4 linked regions of the Drosophila melanogaster genome follow. The protein of the gene in region 4 interacts with the protein of the main gene of each other region in a pairwise test. Each region holds a gene or a part of one and is shown on either strand. Other genes may lie near its edges.

Evidence for each region.
Region 1: the proteins of SkpA (region 4) and CG7148 interact in a two-hybrid assay, tested with the Drosophila melanogaster proteins (2 studies listed by BioGRID).
Region 2: the proteins of SkpA (region 4) and CG9316 interact in a two-hybrid assay, tested with the Drosophila melanogaster proteins (2 studies listed by BioGRID).
Region 3: the proteins of SkpA (region 4) and CG4911 interact in a two-hybrid assay, tested with the Drosophila melanogaster proteins (2 studies listed by BioGRID).

What each region holds. Positions count from the first base shown.
Region 1 is NT_037436.4:21,829,596-21,834,200, forward strand, and holds CG7148 (uncharacterized protein), read right to left. Parts: upstream 2,659-4,605; 5' UTR 2,502-2,658; coding exon 1,951-2,501; intron 1,892-1,950; coding exon 1,195-1,891; intron 1,138-1,194; coding exon 1,021-1,137; 3' UTR 949-1,020; downstream 1-948. Other genes in the region: Nopp140, read left to right, coding at 3,284-3,382, 3,585-4,605.
Region 2 is NT_033779.5:20,723,438-20,728,514, forward strand, and holds CG9316 (uncharacterized protein), read right to left. Parts: upstream 3,115-5,077; 5' UTR 3,020-3,114; coding exon 2,425-3,019; intron 2,370-2,424; coding exon 1,669-2,369; intron 1,611-1,668; coding exon 1,560-1,610; 3' UTR 1,535-1,559; intron 1,475-1,534; 3' UTR 772-1,474; downstream 1-771. Other genes in the region: CarT (carcinine transporter), read right to left, coding at 4,182-4,455, 4,531-4,929, 4,992-5,077.
Region 3 is NT_037436.4:9,066,530-9,075,056, forward strand, and holds CG4911 (uncharacterized protein), read right to left. Parts: upstream 6,203-8,527; 5' UTR 6,102-6,202; coding exon 5,959-6,101; intron 5,373-5,958; coding exon 5,217-5,372; intron 5,159-5,216; coding exon 5,054-5,158; intron 4,993-5,053; coding exon 4,176-4,992; intron 4,119-4,175; coding exon 3,987-4,118; 3' UTR 666-3,986; downstream 1-665. Other genes in the region: CG4942 (uncharacterized protein), read left to right, coding at 6,678-7,142, 7,200-7,790; teq (tequila), read left to right, coding at 8,250-8,300.
Region 4 is NC_004354.4:653,823-658,688, forward strand, and holds SkpA (SKP1-related A), read left to right. Parts: upstream 1-2,291; 5' UTR 2,292-2,962; exon of another isoform or gene 2,963-3,276; 5' UTR 3,277-3,287; coding exon 3,288-3,776; 3' UTR 3,777-4,077; downstream 4,078-4,866. Other genes in the region: Hmt4-20 (histone methyltransferase 4-20), read right to left, coding at 1-261.

The sequences.
Region 1 (4,605 bases), on a different chromosome or scaffold from region 4:
ACTTTAACTCATGAATCCCTCAGGAAGTCCCATTAAACACGTAATTTAGCCAACGAAAATGCATCTAAAAGTGTACATTAAGTTTTCTTTTGTTTTCAGCGATTTCCAAGAAGAGGAGCTCCCGCTTCGCACATAGGGTTTCCATTTCCTCCACGTGCTTCTCCTGAGCGCGGATGTTTTCCTGTTCATAAAAATGTCGGTGTGCTCTGACCAGGCGTAGCTTTTCCTCTTGGAAAAGTCTGACGGTACGGGGGCTTAACCTTCCGGCTGGGCTCCTCAGCGGGCCAGTCAGTTCCGGCTTACTATACGAAGAAGCCGCGTGTTCATTGGAGTTCTCCCCAGGGAACTCGAGTATGTCTCCGCTTGAAACCGCTTTGCAGTCTTCTATGGTAACTGGAAACTGGACTCGGTTTAGCTAGGTGAAGGACATTAAGGAATCCGTACTCACAATCGCTGTCCGAGTTTTCACCTATCGTATCATTGTTCCTCAGGATCTGCCTGATATGTACAGCACTGTTTTCTTATGCTCTGAATTCAAAAACGTTTTTCAGCTTGAAATGTCAAATTTAATAATTTTTGCCTGCAGATTAGATATCCATAGGAGCGGGAGTTACACTATCGATTGCATTATAGTTTTTGGGGAAACAACAAGTTGACTTCCAAACTACAAATTATATCTTACAGTTATTATACCTGGCAGTAGCAATATACATATTATCAGGGGTATTCAGCTAGCTATTTCATAGCTATAAATGATTCCCAGGGAACAAAGGTAAAAATGTTGCACGTTATCGTCAGCTCATTTTCATATTTATTTTATTAAAACAAATTTATTTAAATAATTTAACTACGGTGCTCTTTGTCACTACGTGAAGGACAGCCTTAGAAAACAACACGGAAGTCCGCATGGAGCACTCAAAACTTTGAAATAATAATCCAATTTGGCGTACTTTGTGCAACATAAATTTTAATAATAAATTATTGTATGAATCTACGCTTGTATATTTACATATTTTGAGGTCAGTGAAATTCAAATTGGTATCCGCGGTCCACAAAGCTCAGACCGCGTTCCGAGTCGACTGGAAAGTCGGCGGTGAAGACAATATATCCTCTATATTCCAAAGAGCTCTTTAGGTTCTGCAATGGATTGATTGATTAGATAAAAGAAGAGCGACATAAACAAGAAATAGTAACCGCTCTATCCACAAAGTCCTCAAAGCCACTTAGGTCGTAGTAGAGCTTCAGAGGTGGCGAACGTCCAACTCCCGTCTTCTGCTTGAACGGCTCCCGCCGCTTAAGAATACTCAAGGCCCGTGGCAAAAATGTTGGCGTCAGATTTCGGCAGTAGGACACGTCGAGGTGTTCCAATCGTGGACAGAGTTCCACGAATTCTAAGAGGATTTCGTCGCTTAGGTCATTCCAGTTGCGCACGCAGAGCAGCTGCAGCTCTGTCATACAGGTATAGCGCTTTAGGTAGTCTGCCGAATGAGTCCAGCTGCAAATGGCCAGGCGCTTCAGCCTGCGATGCGTCCAGATGGGCAGCTTCTCATCCCAGCCCGGTTCAAGGGGCATATAGTACCCGTCCACGGCAAAGCCGACGATGTCCTTGGCCTTGAAAGCCATGATCTCGTAGAACTCGCTGACCTCGCGGATCTTGTGGTCATAGCTATCCGGACTGACCAGCGGGGGGATATGCCACTCGTTGTCCAGCAGCACCACCAGTTTCCTGAGGGAGGGCAGCTCCAGAACGGCGGGTAGAATGGGTTTCAAGGTGGCCAGATTGAGCTTAAGATCAGTGAGGTTCTTAAAGCTCTGCAGGCAGTTTCCCAGCTGAAGTTTACTGATCATATCGTACGTCCTAATGTCCAGGACCCGAAGATCGTGCAGCGTGCTGTGGCGCAAACGGAAAATGAGTTGCGAAATATTATGCAGCAGAAGGTTACTACTTACCGGCACACCTCGTCCAGGTACTTCTGCTGCAGCTCAAACGCCTTGTGCTGGTCCTCGTAGAGGTGCAGCTCCTGCAGGTGCTGGAAGTTGGATAGGTACCGCCCGTCGATGGGTGTGGTAAGGCGCAACTTTTTCAAGCCCGGCAGCAGGCGGGCCAGCTTGCGGATGCTTCGGTTCGTGGGATAGCAATCGACGCCGTCTGGGTCGTAGTAGAAGCTGGTCACCATGGGCAGCTCTGCAATGTGCATTTCGTCCAGATCTTTTAGAATGGAGCACAGACAGCTGCTGCCGCCCATTTCTCTGATGTACGGACGCATTTGGGTTAGGAAGTAGACCAGGTCTTCATGATTGGGCAACAGTACCCGCCACTTCTCCAGATCCAGTTGCTCGTAGGCATGGCTGGTGCGCCACTTGCTCAGACATATGTACTGCACTCGCCGGCAAGTCCTCGCGAAGGACACTTCCGACGGCAGGTCCTGCAAGCGATCGAAAATCTCGGCCAGACAGTCGTCGTCCAATTGCAGAATTAGGGATCTCGGCTCGGAAGCCATGGCCCGGGATGCGATCCTCGCGACACAATCTAGGTACAGAGTCTGTTAAAATAGCCGGAGCGAGAGATAGTTTCTGTATTCTGGATCGTTTCAAGCAGGTCAACTCAATTGAATAACAAACAAAAATACATTTTGGTGCTCCCCCAATGTGACCAGTCGTGGATGGTCTGAATACCTCACGCAAAAAACGTAGGTTCCTTACATTATGTTATATATACGCTAATTGTTTGAATACAATTTAATAATACAGTTTAGTAATTTATATATATATACATAGACATATAGACATATATATATATAACAAATTTAACAATACAAATTTATTGTTATATATGTCTATGTATATATATATATATATATATATATATATATATATACAAAACTAAAATTACAAATTTATTGTTATATATGTCTACATATATACATATACATATATATATATACATATATATATATACATAGACATATATAACAATAAATTTGTAATTTTAGTTTTGTCTAACGTAGCCTAGCGTTATTTCTAATTTCAAGATCTTTGTCGGTGTGGCATAAATAAATGATTACAATTGATTGGCATTTTCGAGTTATTCTTGGGAAGAATACCCGCTGCATTGACAGTGTTGAGAAACGGGGTGCAGGGGTGGCCACACCGTTGGCAGCCGCGTAGTGCTGCCATACCACTGATAAGTAGAAAACACGTGTGAGTGCGCATTCTTTTTTGTGGGACAAGCGGCTAGTAATTATTTGCGGACGGAAAATATTGACGAATAGTTGAATTAATCATGACAGACCTGCTAAAGATAGCCGATGCAATCGTCCTGGAGTACTTGCAGTCCAAGGACAAGAACCTAGCCAAGGTTTTCCAGCAGAAGACGAAGGCGGTAAGTTTCAGTGCAGAGCGGCAAGTGCAATATGTGCGGTTTGGATGCACCCGAAACATGTGGTATCTGCGTCCTCCTGATCTAGAATCCGAGGGCCTTGCTGTCCGCCGATGGCTCATCGAGCTGTCCACCTGCCACTTGCTGCAAGTGCCACGTGCTTCGTCCAGATAACCAAGAATTTCTGCCTTTTTCTAACTTGCAGGCCAGTGTCGCCAAAAGCAGCCCAAAGTTGAGTGAAATCCTTCAGTTCTACCAGACCAAAAGCCCCAAAAAGATCCCAGCAATCAAGGCGACAGCCGGAGACTCCAGCGAAGACAGCGACTCAGACTCTGAGTCTGATGCGGCGCCTAAGAAGCCAGCGACAGCTCCTGCACTAACAAACGGCAAGGCTGTCAAAAAGGCAGCTTCTTCAACCAGCGAGGACAGCGATTCAGAGGAGGAGAAGAAGCCAGCAGCAAAGGCCACGCCGGCCAAGGCTGTCGGCAAGAAGGCAAAATCCTCCAGCGAGGACAGTTCCTCGGAGGAAGAAGCACCCAAAAAAGCTGCTCCAGTGAAGGCACCTCCGGCCAAGGCGGCTCCCGCGAAGAAGGTTGAGTCCAGCAGCGAGGATAGCAGTTCCGAGGAAGAACCGGCAAAGCCCGCCGTCAAGGCCACAACGACTAAGGTTGCTCCCGCCAAGAAGGCCGACTCCAGCAGCGAAGAAAGCAGCTCCGATGAGGAGACTAAGCCAGCTGCCAAGCCTGTAGCCAAGGCTGCACCGGCAAAGAAAGCAGCATCCTCCAGCGAGGAAAGCGACTCCGATGACGAGCCAGCCGCCAAGAAGCCTGCCGTCCAGCCTGCCGCAAAGCCAGCTCCTAAGGCAGCCGCTTCTAGTTCCGAAGACAGCAGCTCAGAGGAGGAGGTCAAACCCGCTGCTAAATCTGCTGCCAAGTTGGCTCCTGCTAAGAAGGGGGCTTCCTCTAGTGATGATAGTTCCTCTGAAGACGAGGCACCCAAAAAGGCAGCAACTCTCGCAAAGCCCATTTCTAAGGCTGCTCCCACCAAAAAGGCCGACAGTTCCACTGAGGATAGTTCTTCGGAAGACGATGCTCCTAAGAAGGTAGCTCCAGCAAAGGCTACGCCAGCTAAGGCAATTCCTGCCAAGAAGGCAGCTTCCAGCGATGACAGCTCCTCGGAGGAAGAGGCGCCCAAGAAGGCAGCTCCAGCAAATGCCACGCCAGCTA
Region 2 (5,077 bases), on a different chromosome or scaffold from region 4:
GCGATAGCAAAAGCCATTTCCCATAATCGCAAGCCACCACAACAACCCCCCCCCCGAACAACAACAACAACAGCAACATTAGGAACAACAACAAAGTCACCGAGCAACAAACAACACGAATTTCTATGGCATCAGGGTAACAATTTTAAGGCTTGTCTCTCTTATGAAATACGACAGCCCAGCGAGATTTTTAAATAATTCACAGGCGTGATTGGACACGCTTCGAGTATATAGTAGTAGTATCTGCCAGATACGATACTGCAAAGGGGCAGGGTACGCCAAATTATCCCTGCTTAATGTGCCCCACTCATGCAAACCCTGCTCCTCCGGATGAGCCGAAGATGCCACCGCAACTTGTGGCCAAATGTCAGCAAGCTGCCTGCTCTGCTGGTCCAGTTAAAGTACACTAATTAGTCAGATAGCCGAGCATGGCGGACACCTGAACATGTCAAGGCATTCGCCGGGGTGCCCCTGGCCACCAGAACCCCTGCTAACCCACTGCTAACCCCCTGCTAACCCCTTCTAGCACCGTCGATCGGAGAGTCGCGGCGATTGCAGCCGCCGACAGCCATTTAAGGAGCCACTCGAGGTCAGTGTAAAACAAATAGCACACGCAAAAAACAATCAAAACGTATAGATGACTAACCAGTGGAGTAGTGGAGTGGCCACAGGTGAGTTCGCTCTACGATCTGCACTGCAAATAATTCTAGAGAAAAGGTGTCATACCAAATCACACAAAAAACCTGTGAAGAATGACTGGTTAAAAGATTTAATTGAACCCAACTGGACATATGTATTATAAGAGTCCTGCAAGATACATTAGTTCTATAATTAAACAAAATGTTTTCTATTTTTCCAAGTGTAATCAACTGGACGCGGTCACTTAGCTTCCTGCTGCTAACACAGACATCATCGGCCAACAAAGCAACAAAGTTCAGTTCCAATAGAGCAGCAATTGAATGCGAAATTTATTGCCGGCGATCGATCGCTTGGATCGAATTGAATCGCGGATTCAGAACTGTATCGAATATCGCGTATTGTTCGATTTCGGTTTCCATTCGTTTGGCTTGTTAGCCAGCCGCTTGACGTACTACAGCCAAAGGCCCAAAGTGCAGCGACACGACCCACACACGTTTGTCCGCAATTATCGGCGTTCTAATGGAGCATTGTGAGCATTGTGATGATCATAAATTTCGATCGTCCACTTCCTTATGGCAGCCATGGGGTCATGACTCATCGATCCAGTGAGGATCCCATTGTCTTAGCTATCCGCGCTCCAAGGCCATCGAATGTTCCACTCACGGAAGAAGTGCCCACCACGTCTATTCCCTAATCCAGAAATCACAGCTACGGTTCCTTATGGCAAAAATAATACTTGCACTCCTTTTAAACTGATTTTTATTAATAGAAATCAAATTTGATTGGTTTTGGGCAGTGTCTCTCTTGATATTTGATGTTCAATAAGAAATGATTCCTTGGCAACACAAAATTTGATCAAATTATTGCAACAATTCATAGACATTTATTTTCTTACCATTTTCCATTCGAGTGGTGTCGTTTTAAATAAAATTAACCTTTAGACGATTCAAGGAATTCACGTAATCCGGATGCTGCAAAATATGAAAGTGTTAGTATATGCTTTCGAAACTCCCGCCCCGGTTTTCCCACCGTCAATATAGGCCGCCTGATCATGGTTCCCTTTACATTGAGCACCACATCACGACCTGATCCCTTCGAGCAGAATCCAATGGCCTGGATCACAAACTCCTCGGTGATCTGCTCGCAATCGGTCAAATCAATAACTTTCAACTGGGGACACTTCCGCAACATCCTCATCATCCCCACGTCCATCACCCGACCGCACGCGGTCAGACCAAATCGCTCCAGCTGGCTGAGATCGTTGAAGAACTTGAAGTGATCGTCGTCCAGGATATCGTTGTTGCTGAACCGCAGATCCGTGAGGCTACTCAACTGTCCCAGGCACCTGGCGTGCTCATTGGTGATATTGAACTGACCGGATAGGTGCAGATGGGTGAGCTTGTTTCCTCGTTTCTCTGCCAGAACCGTAAGGAACCCAATATTCAGCTCGTTGGAGGTCATCCAGGTTTTCAGTGTACAGCGCTCCAGCTTGGGCAGGTTGGCGATTACCTCGAAGTTGGTGTCGCAGCCGGAGAAGATCAGTTCCACCAAGTTCGTGCAGCTCTCGGCGATTTTCTGGTACAAGCTCACATTCATAACCTCGAAACAACAGTCGTCGAGATCCAAAGTGTGCAACGACTTAAGCGGAATTCCAAACTCCATCGAGTTCCATAGCAGACAGTCTCGAAGGACCAAAGTTTTGAGATTGGGAAAACCGCAGAGATTTTGGCCTGTTGCGAAAATAAAGTCCCGCAAACGCATAAATAGAGTGCAGTGCATACCTACCTGTATAGCAACCATTAACCAGTTCAAAAAACTCCAGCTCCTGGTTGGGCTGCATATCAAAGTTGAGCACATCCTCTGCATCCAAACACTCAATAGTCACCCGTTTCAAGTGCGTCATTTTGGACATAATCGATCGGTAGTGAAACTCATCGGTGGCGTTCGAGTAACTAATCTCCTCCAGATTGGGGCAGTATTCCTTTACGAACTCCACCAGCAGGGACTCCTTTTGGTAGGACGCACAGTCCACTTGAAGGACTCTGATGAAGGGTCCCGCCACCTTGAAGAACCTGATCAATTGCGGCAGAGGCACCGTCTCCAGACTAACCATGTCCAAAGCATTTCGTTGCACTCTCGCCCAGCCCTCGAAGGCCGCTCGGAACTTGGGCGCCACACAGGCCAGCAGAACCTTATCGGTAATCCTGGGCAGAAACTCGAGAACCAGTCGGATGATGTCCTCCGGCAGATCAAGCAGACTGGTCCTGCATAATGGCGATGGCGATGGCGATGGCTCACTTTTTTGGACTCCACCCGGGCGATTGGAGCGAACTGGGAATGGAGTCTTCACTGATCTCGAATGCGTTTTCGCCTTAGGCATTTTTTGGATTATTTGCTTGTACGTAAATTTAGATTAATTCATTTTTGACACTGCCCAGATGTTATGATAGGAAATAAGGGAAAATCAAGCTCGACCTTGTGTAACCGGGTAAATATTAGAGTCCTGATACCGTAATTCAAGATCCAAATCTAAATACTCCAGAGATCTATAGGGAAAAAGACTAGGACAAAGGACCATCTTAACGAATCTTTGGATTTGGAACTGCGTACTGAACTTAAGTAGCAATATTAAGAAACTACATTTTTGCTTGCAAGATCTCCTTGGTGTCAACATATTTGTGATCTGATCCAGCATTATGAATTCCCATGGGTCCAGGCACTTCCTACGGTTGACAGTGACCGCCAGCAGTTTACGGTCGACAGGTGGGGGCAATTTCGCGCATTCCTCTATTATTCACCGCATGAGCAAGTTTTCTTTTTGTTTGACAACAATTAATTGCATAATTGTCTGAATAAATGCATAAATCAATTACCGGTGATTGAGAAGTCGCCATACGATATACGCTACACGTACTTATTTATTTATTTATTTTTACCGGATATGTTTGAAGAATTAAGTTTCGGTTTTTGTTTACAAAGCTTTTGTAATTCACAAAAGCAAACAACTTAGGCATAATGGCAATGCCCTATAATTAATGGAAAAGTAATGGAAAAGGAAAAGAAAACTGGTATTTAAAGGAGGAAATTGTTATAGATTTAATTTTAAGCAGTTAAAGTATGCTGCTCTATTTGCTCATAGCAAATACTTCTAAAACACGGAATCAAAAGCGTTTACTTAGAGAACTATTATTTAAATTATAAATAAATTAGTAAGCAATTAAATAGTGCTGTTATATGTTAAGTAACTTGTTGAAACATTAATTTCGTTATTTTTCATACAATGACAATTGCTAACATTGTGCTGCAAAAATGGTAAGTTTTTATGATTAATTATATTTGTATGTTTGTTTTTAAAGAAGTCTCTGCCCATAGTTCTATATTTAAAAAGATATCCCTTAGCGTTAAGCAATAGATTAGTAAATAGTTTATATGCAATCATTTTAAACTTTAGCGAAAACAAAGAATAGCCTTGCAGTTTATCTAATTAATTTTAAGAAATCTCTTCTAGATGTGACAATACATTAGATTTGTCGCTACAAATCTTAGATCCAATGAGTCAACTGCATGGTGCCATCATGCGTCCTCTGGGTGTCCATGACGCTCATTTGGCGCACTAATCGCTTCATCGAGGGCCGATGAACAGGTCGCCCACTTCCACTGGCCGTTGTGTCCAGGGGCGTACGCTCGTCAATGCGGGGAGCCGGCTCCCGAACCCGTCGACTGTCCCGCAGCTCCAATTCCACCTCAGAAGCATTGGTGGAGGATCCAGCCAGGACATCCAGGTTCTCGTACGACGCAGGTTGAGATAAAATCTCTCTGCAAAAAGTAAGCACAATATATATTAAATTAGTTTTATACCCGCCTTGGTCACCACATGCACATTGAACTCACGGCTTTTGAGCGCATCTACAGCAATCTTTGAACTGCCAGTTCTTGCCAAACTCCTCGCCCTCCTCGATGGTCTGCGGCAAGCGATGATGCAGTGTTTCCGGCAGCCGCAATCCCGTCATGCCGCCCAGCATCGAAAGGAAGCCCATGATGACCAAGGGCAGTTTAAGATTGTCCTTTCCCAAGTAGGTAATAAAAGGTATGCCAATGAGACCCAATCCTCCAATATAACTGGAAGCACCAATGCCGATACCCCGAACCTGAGTGGGATAAAGTTCCCCGGCAAAGGGGTATATGATCAGGAAGGAGGCGGATAGCAAGGCTTTGGATACTAGATACAGCACAAGGGTCTCATCCACGGCATCATCGGGCAACATTACAGTGATCACACAGGCCACGCCACTGAAAAATGTTGGACTTCGAATTTTACACAAAAAACACAAGATGATGGGTCAAACACCTACCCCAATATCATTGATAAGCTCAATGGCCATCTTCTGCCCCAGGTATCCATGAAGTACCAGCAGCACAAATAGCTCGGCAGCTCCAC
Region 3 (8,527 bases), on a different chromosome or scaffold from region 4:
ACTATCAGTTCAATGTTTACTATTTATTTTGCTTACTGCAGCGTTTGGCCCAGGCCAAAACTATCAAATTTGGTCGAAAAAGCGCTGCTGACGCCTTTCGCCGGTTGTCTGTCGTGGGCAAATAAATCCAGATAATAAACTCGAGCGTACTGTTCAGTCATTCATTCAACAGCGCTATCTATTTTGCAAAGCCCACTTAATTGGCCTGGGTGATGATGATTGGGGTCTTATCGCTCGCCGAAGACTCTGCAGTTTGAGAGCCACTGCAACGGCAAAGATGCAATGGCAAGCGCACAGAGTCCGTGAATCCCGTGGACCAGGTTGCATAATGATACGTACAGCTGCTTACATAACCGCGGCAGCGAGAAAGGCGACCAGAAACAAGGTCAAAAGTTCAAGGACTGAGAAAAGCTCGAAAACATCCTGGAGCGCTTGCGTTGCTCAGCGGAAGTTCCTGCGAGTGTGGGTGTTCTGTTTTTGTTGACAAAAAGTTTTTATTATCACGAATTATGTACTTTTAATCGGCTACCTTCGGCCTACAGCACTAAATATTGTATAACACAACCCATGAAGTATGCAACGAAAATAAAGATTAAAGCACTTGAAAAGGATAACTTTCGAGCCCCTTCCGTAAATAATTAGGAGCACAATTTTGATTTAAGTTTCAAACATTTTTTATTGGTTTTTCAATTGAATGCATTTTGTTTGCTACGCTTTAATTGGTTTATATATCTTGGTTGTCTTACATTGTAATGATATTGCATATGCCACACAAACTGCTGTTGGCCTCGGTTGATTAAGCTTTAAAATCTTGCACAAAACATAATCATTGCAAATCAAATGGAAATTGACTTTGAATAAAACGCTTGCTTTCATATATTTTAAGCTATGTGCATTTTGTATGTGTATTATTTTACTACATATCGATATATAATTTAACATTTGAATCATTCTCATCTTCACTTTTCATCCTGACTGGAATATCAATCTAATTCCGCACGCTGTTGATTCACTCAAACACTTCGGTTCAAAACTTTGGTTCCCCCGCGTTCGTCCTTCGTTAACCCGCTAAGCTAGCTACTACTGGATCTGATCCGATCTCCTATAGTTCATTTTGAATTCTTCTCGTTGGCCATTTCATTTCAGATGGTCCGGTCGGTACTTATACTGGTTCTTAGTTCCGGAAAGGTTGTTAACATACTTTTGTTGGTCGCACACGTTTCGAATTGGCTTGTCTGTTGTTTTTGTAGTTTAATGTGTTGGTGTTATCTTTGTGTGTTGTCGGTTGTCGTTTGCCCTTTTTGTTGGATCTTGTTGTATCACAGCTTTCTTCACTTTTGCTCTTATAACTTTTAAGCATAACTTGCATATACATATATATAAACATTGCTGTTAATGCACGGCTGTCATACATATCGTCTTTCGGATTTTCTACCCTCCTCGCCCATGTCACACTTGTTGTTCCCCTGAATGTCGACATCGAGCATACCCTACATACATACATATATTAACACCCTGACTTGTTGTTATTCTCGATCAACAATTATCTTAAACTTGGTTGGTCTTTTTTCCTCCTTCTGTAGTGTTGCTACTGGATCAGTACATACGTTAGCATAAATCGCATTGGTTTGTTGTGGTTGTGGAATGGTTTACAAAATTCTTTTCGCTCTCATCGAATTTAAATACAATAAATGGCATATAAAATATATTTGTTTTGTAGTAAGTATACCAAAAGAACGTTACTCATATACAGCAGCGTTGGAAGTGACACTAGTATAACAGAAAAACTTAATACTTGTTTCATTTACGTTGATTGTAATTGAATGAATCCATTGATTGACAATTAGTTCGGGCTGGATATTGAGCTAACGATCTTTTACAGTCCTAGCTCTATTTTATAGCTTTATGACACATTATTTTGGCTAATAGCACTTTCCTTTAACTTTTTACAAATCGAACTCCTCGATAAACAATATTAGGAGTTTACTCTTTTTCTTATTAATTTAATAACGCGCTGTGAGTACTTTTTGAAGGCAACTTCGAATTCAATTGTAGCTATTCAATTAGGCGGTTAATTTGGAAAATAATACTATAGAAACTGGTGTATCAGGGAGCTATAAAATAGAGCCCATATAACCTATATCCCCCATTAATCTGGCCCTGTCTTTCCAATGCTTACTACCGTTCTCATTGCTTCAATAGTGCAGTATCTTAGGTCTTATTTTGCACATTATGTTGTTCGTGGAAGCAGCATGACACTTTTATCACATTTGTTGTTGGTGTTGGTTGTTGTGTTTGGTACGTACTAGACTTAAATTAAATGCACAGCCACATACAAACAGGTCTGGTTACATAATGTAGGCCGTCGATTTGCAATCTCTTTATGACCCAAGACTCTGTTCTTGATTTGACTTTTCTGTGGCCGTGTTGCGGTTGCTGTTTGACAAACATTCTTAGTTTGCTTCGCGCTTTACACATGAATTGAACTCGTTTTACAAAAAATAATATTTGCTATTGCAGTTCATAAAAAATGATTACATGCATTGGTTACATATAGATACATTCATACATACAAATATAGATGGTCGATTGGATAGTTGTAGGAGTTATCTGTGAGATCGCATTTTGTTTGCGGTTGTTACTTGTCCCAGAAACCAATTGCCATCCTCCGTTTTGCTCTGACAACAAGGTCAACACCATCTTTATCGTTCAGTCTTCTGTTTCAATAGATTTTGTGTTTGTTTAGATTGTTACATTTGAGCAAGTACTTTGCGGTTGTTGTTCGGTTGTTCTCTAAATGCTCGGCATGATCTTCAGGTACCATTTTTGTTGTTGTTGCTGTTGATGTTGTCATTGTTGCTGTTGTACTTGTTGGTCGGCAAGCATGTCTGCGGAGGATGAGCCGCGGCTCGTAACAACACGCTGCTGTTTTGTGCAAACATAGGTTAAATATAGTACATAGTTGTATAATTAATGCCTGTGCTACAAAATACTTAAGAGTTGGATTTGGGTCTTATAATTGCCTGGCTTTTTGGCCCGTTTATCTGGCCACAACGCATGCACCACACGCACGACAGCTATTTCCTTAGCTCCATTTGGCTATTACATACAATACATATATATCTGTGTGGTGTTTTGTATTTGCTTACATTTTGCTTTGCTGTTGCTGGTAATATCACTTTAAACTACACAAATGGCGGCGCTTAGCGAACGAGGATCTAGCTCTCGTTGTTGTTACATTTGCTTATGTTGTTGTTTGTTGGTTTATCACAATTGAGCGCCAGATTCTGTACTTATTCACACTACTACAAAGGTTAACAATTTGTGCCAATTGCGTCGTTTTGAGCAAACAATTTGACATTGGTCGTAGTTTTGGTTTTACAAACATTTTCAACACTTTTTGTTACTTTAAACTTAGCTAACTAGACAATTCGCTTAACAACTTGCTGTTGTCGTTTTTGTTATTCTTTGTATGAGAGCTGGGTATAGCATTTGCTTTCACACTGGCTTGCATTTGCATCTGCTGCATTCGCTTGAATCACAGTTGTTGTTGCTTATAAAATGATGTTTCTCTAGCAGGTTTCAACAAACTCATCTCGCCCCGTTACATAATTACATAAATTTGTGAAGTGCTCAAGTCTTTTGCTTTGCTCCTAACATTCCTGTCGCTCTTGATCTGTCGCTTTTGTACTAATAAACAAGGGCTAATCGCGATTTTGATTACAAAGGCTAAGAAATTAGGAAAATTTAACATCTATGAAATGCTCGCCAATCAAAAGGTTTGGTGACGATTATGACGATTAAATTTTCTTTTTGCTTACATTATTCTTTTGGGTTTTTTGTTTAGCTACGTAATTAGGTTTTGCAATTTATAAATTAATTTCTATGCGCTCGAGTTGATCACGTGTCATGTTTTCATTTCTTTCGTTCACTTGATGACTGCTTCAATTTTTGGTTATATTTGAGTAGTTTCCTATTTCGACCACTTACTGGCGGAGATCCTGGCGCAGCATTTCGTACACGAACTGATCGCGTAAATCGTTGTCGTAGAACAACGATGGCGGCATTTTGTCAAAGCTGATGGGTGACCATTGTTGTCCCAGTAAGGTGCTTATCTCCTGAAGGATAATCAATTAAGTTACTCGTTTAGTTACAGGACGTTTTAAAGAACTCACTTCATTGTAGGCGTTCAGCAAAGGAGCGCCTGACCAATCGATCATGGAGACTTCCAGACGCTTTAGCTGCCGACCCCGAAGACGGGCAATGCCCACGAGGTTATGCGGATCCATCAAGTACCCGTGCACTACGATCTCCTCCAGCTGTTTGCAGCGCCAGGCCATCATTACGAATGGATCCTGGAGTAAAGAGACACGGCGACTGGAGTTCATGCGATTGGAATATTTGTACGGCGCGTCCACATAGTGAATGCTGCGCAGAGTTTCCCTGTAATGCAACGACATCCAGTCCAAGGCTTCGGCGTTCATCTTTTCGCAGAATAGCAGTCGCACATGGGTTACAGGCATATTGCTACGCAGCACACGATGCTGCAGTAGTGCGATGGCCTCATAGGCATACACAAGGGTCAGCACCAACTCAATGCTCGAAAAGTGATCCGAAAAGTTGGACCAGGCCGTCTCCGACACATCGGGATGCTCTTCGCTATCCAGGCCGTGCACTGCGATCAAAAGTTTCCGCAGCGGAAGCACCTGGATAGTGTGCAGCAGTTCGTCAGAAAGTGTGTCGTAGTCGAGGGAGAGCACCTGCAGGGCGGCGCATTTCTGCAGCAGGGTCGAGTCCAACGAGAGGATGGGATAGTGACTAGGATCGTACTTGATGCTCGCGAGTGTCAGCTGCAGCAGTTCCTGTGGTTTTCCCATAGCCTTTAGAAAATCATGGCCATAGTATGAGAGGGCCTCGATGGCTCCAAGGTCCAGAAGCTGGCAGGGCTGACGCTTGCGGCTTAAAAACAGAATCAACGGCTCCACAAAGCATCTGTTGGGATTGTCAGGATATCTAACTATTGAACTTTTTATTTATTTCTAATGGTACATACTGTTCGATGGCCAACAAGTGCTCGCTATGCATGTTTCCGATGGCAACAAGGCCGACATTGTGGGTTTGGAAACGCAATTTCTGGATGTTATCACAGTGCGCCACTCTGTGGGATGGAAAATGGTTAGGTTGAGTCCTCATTGGGTTTTCTAAAGCAAACTTACTTGTATAGAAGTCCTCGCATTTTCTGGATGTGAACTGCATTTTGAAAGTCGAAGACTACTATCAGTTCCATGGCCAAGTTGGCCATGGAGCGATGGAAGAAGGCCAACTGATCATCGCATCCCACATCCAATTGAAAGCGAAAGTTTCTAAAATAGCTGAGGGGTGAAAAATAGGTAATGATTAATTATATATAGATGTAAATACTAAATTACAAAATTGGGCTTATTTCTTTTCTATTTGTTAGTCCAAAAGACCAATATAATTAATTTAAATAACATAGGAAAATTACTATAAATACAATAAATGAATCAGCATAGAAAAGGTAAGAAAAATAAGTATCTTTCTCGCAATCGCTAAGATCGCAATTTACAGCTCACAGCTTATCGCATCAATTAATTTAATTAATTGCATTTATTGGCAGGGGAATTCCTCTTATCGTGGACTTTCCCCTTTTTTCAACACTAATATAAACAAACGGACCTAGGTGCTTGCCCCCACACATTGAAAGCTTGCCAAATGCGAAGAGTACAACATATAAATGTCGAACAAGTTTTGGGGTCTACGATTCGTTCTTGCTTGCACAGATGTTTTTTTGCGCTTGATTAACCCACGGCTATATAATGTAAGGGGCAATAACAAAGGAAATATACCCAATAAGTACTGAAATTAAACATTTCAGCCACATACACAAATACCTACACCCACACGGATACGGACACACCCACACAGTGACAAACTTACCGTTTTTGAAATAAGGCATGTCTCCAAGAAAAACATACACCCGCTGCCGACCGACGATCCTGGGGATTTAGATAGTCGAATATGTGATTTAGTGCCACCGATGGTATTCTGTGCCATTCTGGTTGGCGTTGGCTAAAATTCATTACTCGATTTAAATGTTAATTGCGTTTCAAACAATGAAAAGTTGCAAGTGCAGCCGAGTACGCTGCACAATTTAAAATGCCAAATTAGAGTGACCGTCGCACGAGGTCGCAAATATGCCAAGACCAAGAAAACAAATATGAATACAAGCACAATTTTATCTTAAGCATATACGTATGAAATTAAACGTCAATTAAAAAACAATTTATGCACTTAAATTAGGTCTAGCCATTTTAAGTAAGCCGAGATAATTATTAATTTAGAAATTTCAAAGTGAGTAAAAATGCAAAGGAAATAAAAGTGTTGCTGTCGTATAAAATGACTGTATAAATTTTGTTATTGTTCTCTTATCAACGATTAAATGATTTCAAATTAATAACTGCATTTCAATGTTTCCTAATTTCGGATAGCAAAAAAAGCATCGTAAGTTAAGGGTTAATGCAACTACAATGCCTAGCTACGGCCACACTGATTGAAGCCGTGTTATGGTAACAATCAGCTGTTCACAATGATAACAACTCGCACTGCTGATTCTATATAGTTGTTTACGTTGATTATTAGTTTTATATTAATTAAAAATGTCAGCTTTGCTTCTTTTACGCACCTGTAGAAGTTCATCAATTGCTGGCATCTACAAATACACATACCAAGGAACAACTATTGCGAATCACACATGCAATCATCGTCTGTCGTCTACAGAAGCGGCGGCCGCGAGTGTCCAACTGGCAAATGCCGGTGGATTGGTGGGATATTGGCAGACCTTGTCCAACAGCACGCCGGTGGCCTATATGCAGGATGTTCTCATTAAGATCCACGACTACAGTGGCCTGCCCTGGTGGGCGTCCATCGTGCTGTCCACTTTCCTTTTTCGGAGCGTGGTCACCCTGCCTCTGACCATTTACCAGCACAAAATCACCGCCAGAATTGAAAAGATAGCGCTGGAGATGCCGGCCATTGTGGAGGAACTGAAAAAAGAGGCAGCCATGGCCAAGCACAAGTTCAAGTGGAGCGAAAAGCAGACTCAGATTGTTTATCGGCGTTCGGTTTGTTAAAATTCAAATGTTTGCGAGACACTCTTCGTCATGTCAATTATCTTACAGATCAAGAAGCAGTGGCAGAACCTTATAGTTCGGGATAACTGCCATCCCATGAAGACCATGATTGTGCTATGGGGTCAGATTCCCCTGTGGATCTTTCAATCCGTGGCTCTGCGCAATTTAGTGTACATGCTGCCGGATCCCACGTCCATTCAAGCTCAAATCGTGACCACCGAAATGACCATTGGCGGATTTGGTTGGATACCAAACCTTACGGTGGTGGATAACTCTTATATCCTGCCTGTAGCATTAGGTCTTATCAATTTGGCCATCATTGAAGTGCAAGCCATGTCTAGAACTCGTCCTTCTACACGCTTGCAGAACATCGCCAACAATGTGTTCCGTGGATTGAGTGTTGTGATGGTTCCAGTAGCCTGTACAGTGCCTTCAGCTTTATGTGTATACTGGGTAGCTTCCAGCAGTTTTGGCCTTGCTCAAAATCTGCTCATCCTCTCGCCGGAAGTGCGACGATCTGTGGGAATTCCCAAAACACAAACGGAACTCAGTGAGCCGTACGATCTGCTCTGGCTAAAAATACAGCAGAGGCTAAGACTTGCCGAGAGGGCGCCGGCTGATAAGCCGGCAGCCAAATGATCTAGTCTCTTAGTCATAATCACCTAGTCTAATTTGGGTATGACGTTTAGTTTGTTTAAATGCGACTGCGCCACTGTAATTCATCATCATCATTCTTAAGCTCCAACATCTCAGATTCATAGAAGTAAATAAATGAGTGAAAAACCCCAAAAGAAATGCAAACAAAACAAGGCGATAAGACAGCAAAAAGGTCTTGAGATTACAAGCCCTGATAGTGTGGTCCACTCAATTGGTTTGGCGACAAACGAGAGCATCTATCAGCGGCGGCAGAGATAGAGATTCATCCCGAGTCCAATTGAATTGAAATGCGATCTGGGTGTGGGTCAGTCGAGCCTGGAATTCGAACGGGATCACAACGAAGAATTTAAAGCGCGAGAAAAACAATTGTGTAGTTGCTATCAGCATCGGTGCATTTTAAGAAATATTTAAATTCAAATACTTATAAAGCGGAAACGTAAAATGATGGCCAAGTGGCTCCTTGGCCTTTGGCTGGCGATCCTGCTAGTGGATGTTAGTGTAGAAAGTTTATTAATAATTTCAAATTGTGTTTTTTAAGGATATCATCTAGATTCTAGATTATTTACAATTTTTTAAGATTTTAGTCAAACTAAAAATGTTGTTTAGGAATTTAAAACGCGCTTAAGACTTTAATTTTAATTGAACTTAATTACAAGCTATTAGCTAAATTTTGCCTCTAATTACTTACGGTTGTTCAATAATATTTCATAATTGCGCTT
Region 4 (4,866 bases):
CACCTGGTGGTGCTGCTGGTTCGTCTGGTGGTGTGCAGATGGAGGTGCGGATGGCGGAGGGCCATGGCTCTTGTGGGACATGGACGACAACAGAGCCGCAGCCGTCGATGTCGACGTGGAATTGGTGGCTAGTGAAGACGTTACGCTGGTGGTGCTACTGGCCGAAGCGGTGGGGCCACCGCTTGTGCTGCTGGAGCTGCTGCTGTTTGTAAATCTGCTGCCAGTTTCACCGCGCCGCGTGTGGTTAGAGCCGACGACCATTCTGCACGACAGTCTGCAAGGATGAACAGCATTACAAGTATATTCAAAACGATGTGCACACTTTTTCACTCAAATACTAATACGATCTTAGATATACCAATTCCACCAAACCCAATCAACCCGGCAATTGTCAGCTGTTTTGGAATTTGAATCACTGACAGGTATAAGCTCTTTTATTACATCTGGCAACGCCGCTGTTGTCTGCGAACACGACAAAGAGCGAGATGGACATAAGCTTTCAGGACAAGACTAGGACAAAGGCAAACGTCCTGCACCCATACATACACACTCTCTCACAGGATTGGATGACTTGCAATAATCCTCAATCCGCAAACCATATGTTCCGGCATTTTGCCAATATATTCGCTCCGTTGAAAATGGCCCTAATTTAGTTTTTATTCCTACGGCTTCGCGTTTGAAAGAGAGAGAGAGAGACCGAGAAAGAGGGGGCTTGTAACTGATGTCGTCGACAGCCATCCCTCTCGCTCGCACTTATTCCAAGCCCTTTTAGCCCATGCACACACACGTTTAACAAAAATCAATTAACTTGAAAGCACATGTAAAAAAAAGTATTGATCCACAAAAAACAAAAGGCACTTCGGTAATCCTGGAATACACACACTTACTGCCGAAAATATTTAAAATGAATGGGTACGCGTATATATTTATATGCTGGTGAACAAAAGGCGAGCATAACAAAAATGTCTTATCGATTTGCATGCGCAGCAGACAGTAATTGCAAATCTTGTATTTTCTTGAGTCTGTGCAACAACTGAAATACCTTTCTGGGCATAAACTATCATAAACACAAGTGGGTGGTGCTGGGAAACATCGCTGGAATTGAATATTTGTTTGTTGGTCGATTTGTTCTGAATGGAAACGAATGTCGTTTGCAAATTGCTCTCTCAGCTGTTTACAAACGCATACCACATAACGCAGGTGAGAGAGAGAGGGAGGCATATGCGCAGTGAGAATGGAAGATGAAGGGTTGCCAAGTGCGCAAAGGCTTGCAAATTAAGTACACTTGTGTGCGGGGTAACCGAAAAACGGGTGTTTACAATAAATTTCGCTGGGTGGATGTAGCTTTGTAATTTGAGTTCGCCAATTTTTTTTGTTGTTAACAGCATTTCGAAGCGGTTGCCAACCCTAGACGCTGGCTGGTTGCATGGTAACGAAAAATGGCGGCGCCTGTTACACACACTCACACACACATGCACGCACAGTCTGCTGTGTTTATGCACTTCATGCTGTTCCGATTTTTTTTTTGCACTTTTTCGATTTGTTGTCTGCATTTACCTTAAATGAATTTATTAACTAAGGCGATATTGTGCCTCTCGCTCAATCTCGCAAAACGATGCTTTGTCTGCTGCTTCTCTGTGCGTGTGTCCGTCTCTTTCCACGGCTTTTCGTCGAGACTCACATATACAAACGGCGACACACTGGATTGGAGCTGGACTCCGTTTTGGATGGCTTGGCTTTGGCTGCGTACCCAAAATAAATCGCGCTTGCAGTCCCAAATCATTTTAGTTCTTGACGCCTTTGTTCCACAAAAACTTCCAACCGCCGTCCATGGCTCGTGCTTTCTCTTTCGCTCGCGAGACGCTCCAAAAGTCGCGAGTATGGGAAGAGAATGTATCCCTCGCTCTTTCACGCCTAGAAGCGGCTGTAGCACACACAAGCACACGTAAACCCAGCCGTATGCATATACATATATTCCCTCTACTAGCGAGACGTGTGTACGTGCGTATGTATGTATGCTTTTTTCACTTCTTTCTCCTCTGCGTTCTTTGCACCAAGTGTCGCTGTTGCTATTTGCTACCGCCGCTCCTCTTGACGAATAAGTCGGGACTTGTATCAGCTCTAATTCGGACTTAGTTTACAAAATGCGGCTGCTTTTTTTCCGCGATACTCGGATTAGTGATGTAAAAAGACGTTGATGCTTCGACCACTGAAGTCAGTGCGATATGTATCGATAATTGAATGCCATCGATTGCTACGATTAAAACTGCCACCGCAGTTAGCGGAGACGCTCACCATTCTCTATTCGCCATTTGAAAGTATCGGTGTAATTTGTTTTCAGAGAAATTAATTTCCGTTTACTGTGCAATTCGGTGTGAAAGTGTTCAGATTTATCAATGCGTATTCTGCTTTCGACTTCGCCACCAATCTGTGCTGCAAGTTACCATTACCAGGTCCACCTGGTTCCCGCCAGTTTTCTTTCATTGTGGCTAGTTGTTGTTCGTGCCTTCGATAAAGACGTTTAGAGGTGTTTTTAGAGTTTCGCCATCTGGTCACTATAGCCGTTTCGTTTTTTACGTGAGTATTGTGAATTTGGTGTGTTGATTTATATCTCAGTTGGAGCCTGCGTGGAAATAGTGTCAGTACGTTTAAAGGCATCATCGTAAGGTTAGTCGGAAAACAAATAAAAAGCCTACAAATAGCAAGCAAGAACGCTTTCGCAACCACAAGAAAAACGAACATACGCACGCATCCATCTGTGGTAGAGTCGGCTTGTGTGGGGGTGAGTGGATGTGTGGGTGAGCATTTCTGGAAAGTGCCGTTCTCTATGTTTCGATTCTACTTATCCCTTCATCACCATTTCATCGTTGAATCATCACGAAAGAAACATCGAAAGTGCACAATCGTTTGTTATCTTTGTACGAAAACAACGGTGATTTCCACACAGGCATAACCTGCAAGAGTAATACGATACAAATTTTGATCTGATATGACCTCATTTTAGTCGGTTTGAATTTTAAAGAGAGCGACTCTGCAAACTGCAGGGATATGAACATACAAAATTCACAAATGATTGTTTGCATCCTAGTTGCTTATATTCATTTACACGCATGCTTATATGCTTACATCTGTTATCAATAATTGACGACTTGGTGCATGCGAAGCAAACGCATTGAAATGACTATTGGGATCCACACACTGTTAAAAAACACACTGATTGCACTGCCACACATTTCTCAACTAGAACCTAATGTTTTATACTGAACTTAACTGCAGGAAAGCCCAAAATGCCCAGCATCAAGTTGCAATCTTCGGATGAGGAGATCTTTGACACGGATATCCAGATCGCCAAGTGCTCCGGCACTATCAAGACCATGCTGGAGGACTGCGGCATGGAGGACGATGAGAATGCCATTGTGCCGTTGCCCAATGTGAATTCGACGATTCTTCGCAAGGTGCTTACCTGGGCTCACTACCACAAGGACGACCCCCAGCCAACGGAGGATGATGAGAGCAAGGAGAAGCGCACAGACGACATTATCTCATGGGATGCAGATTTCCTAAAAGTCGACCAGGGCACACTGTTTGAGCTGATATTGGCAGCGAACTATCTGGACATTAAGGGCCTTCTGGAGCTCACCTGCAAGACTGTTGCAAACATGATTAAGGGAAAGACTCCCGAGGAAATACGCAAGACCTTCAACATTAAGAAGGACTTTTCGCCCGCCGAGGAGGAGCAGGTGCGCAAGGAGAACGAGTGGTGCGAGGAGAAGTAAAGCGCGGCATTTCGCGGGACCAACATTAAGTTGAAACAGCTAGGGGATTCGGGAACGAATTGGATTTGCAGCATTGCAACTTTACTTAGTTGCTACTTTCATTTACATTTTTTTTTATTTTTAACCCCAGCAGAGACTCGATTTAAATTGTGTATAAATGATCTGTTGCTGATTTGATTCGCGGGGTTCATTTTTTGTCGTAAATATATCTCATATACATACATATGCGAGATTGTAACACTCTCTTTAACCTATTGGAGTAACACTTGATTTCACTTTAATAAATATAACTACCCAACACAAAGACACAGCCTATTTTGTGGGCTTCCCGGAGGGGTTAGGGTCCAAGGACTTCTCAAATTAAGAAGTGCTCTTTATTCGTTATCTTGTGTTTAGAAACGTTTGCAAGCGTTTGAAATGGATACGCATGCCATTTATGGTCCAGTCGGTAAAATTTTACGTGTTCCCAAGAAGGTACATATATATCTTAGATTATCTTATCTATAGAAACTACATTCATAAGATCACGCTTTCGGCGAATAGCGAGTAATACTGTAGCTGCCACTTTGCCACTTAGTGTGCAATTGAAATGCGCGCCAACGCATGTTCTCATATGCGGAGCGTTTAGCAGCCCTTAAAAAGCTTTTCATGTTGCTTTTAAAAAGCTACGACGGGTGTGGAAATTAGATTTGTGACGCTTTATATATCTTTTTTTTATATCGTCTGGGGTACAGCATGGTTTTAGGATTTTAGAAGAAAGCAGTAATTTTGTAAGAATCGAAGAACGGGGGGATATTTATAATTTTCATATTAACCTTGTCTTTGTTTGCTTTTGAAATTATGAATACTTCGAAAGATAATTATCTTGTGCGCATTCCATTCTGGCTTAGACTGGGTTGAGCTAAAAATGATTTGAAATACAAATTTTTAGGTGTCCGCTGATATATAAACAGTATGATGTTTTTGCACTTTTTTCCCTGAAGTTTTCCTTGTTGTCTCGCTTGCCAATGCTGAACAAAGTAGCCAAAGGACCTTTACTTGAAGCTTTGAGAGCGGAAAATATATTCGGGGACAATTGCTTTAAGTGTGC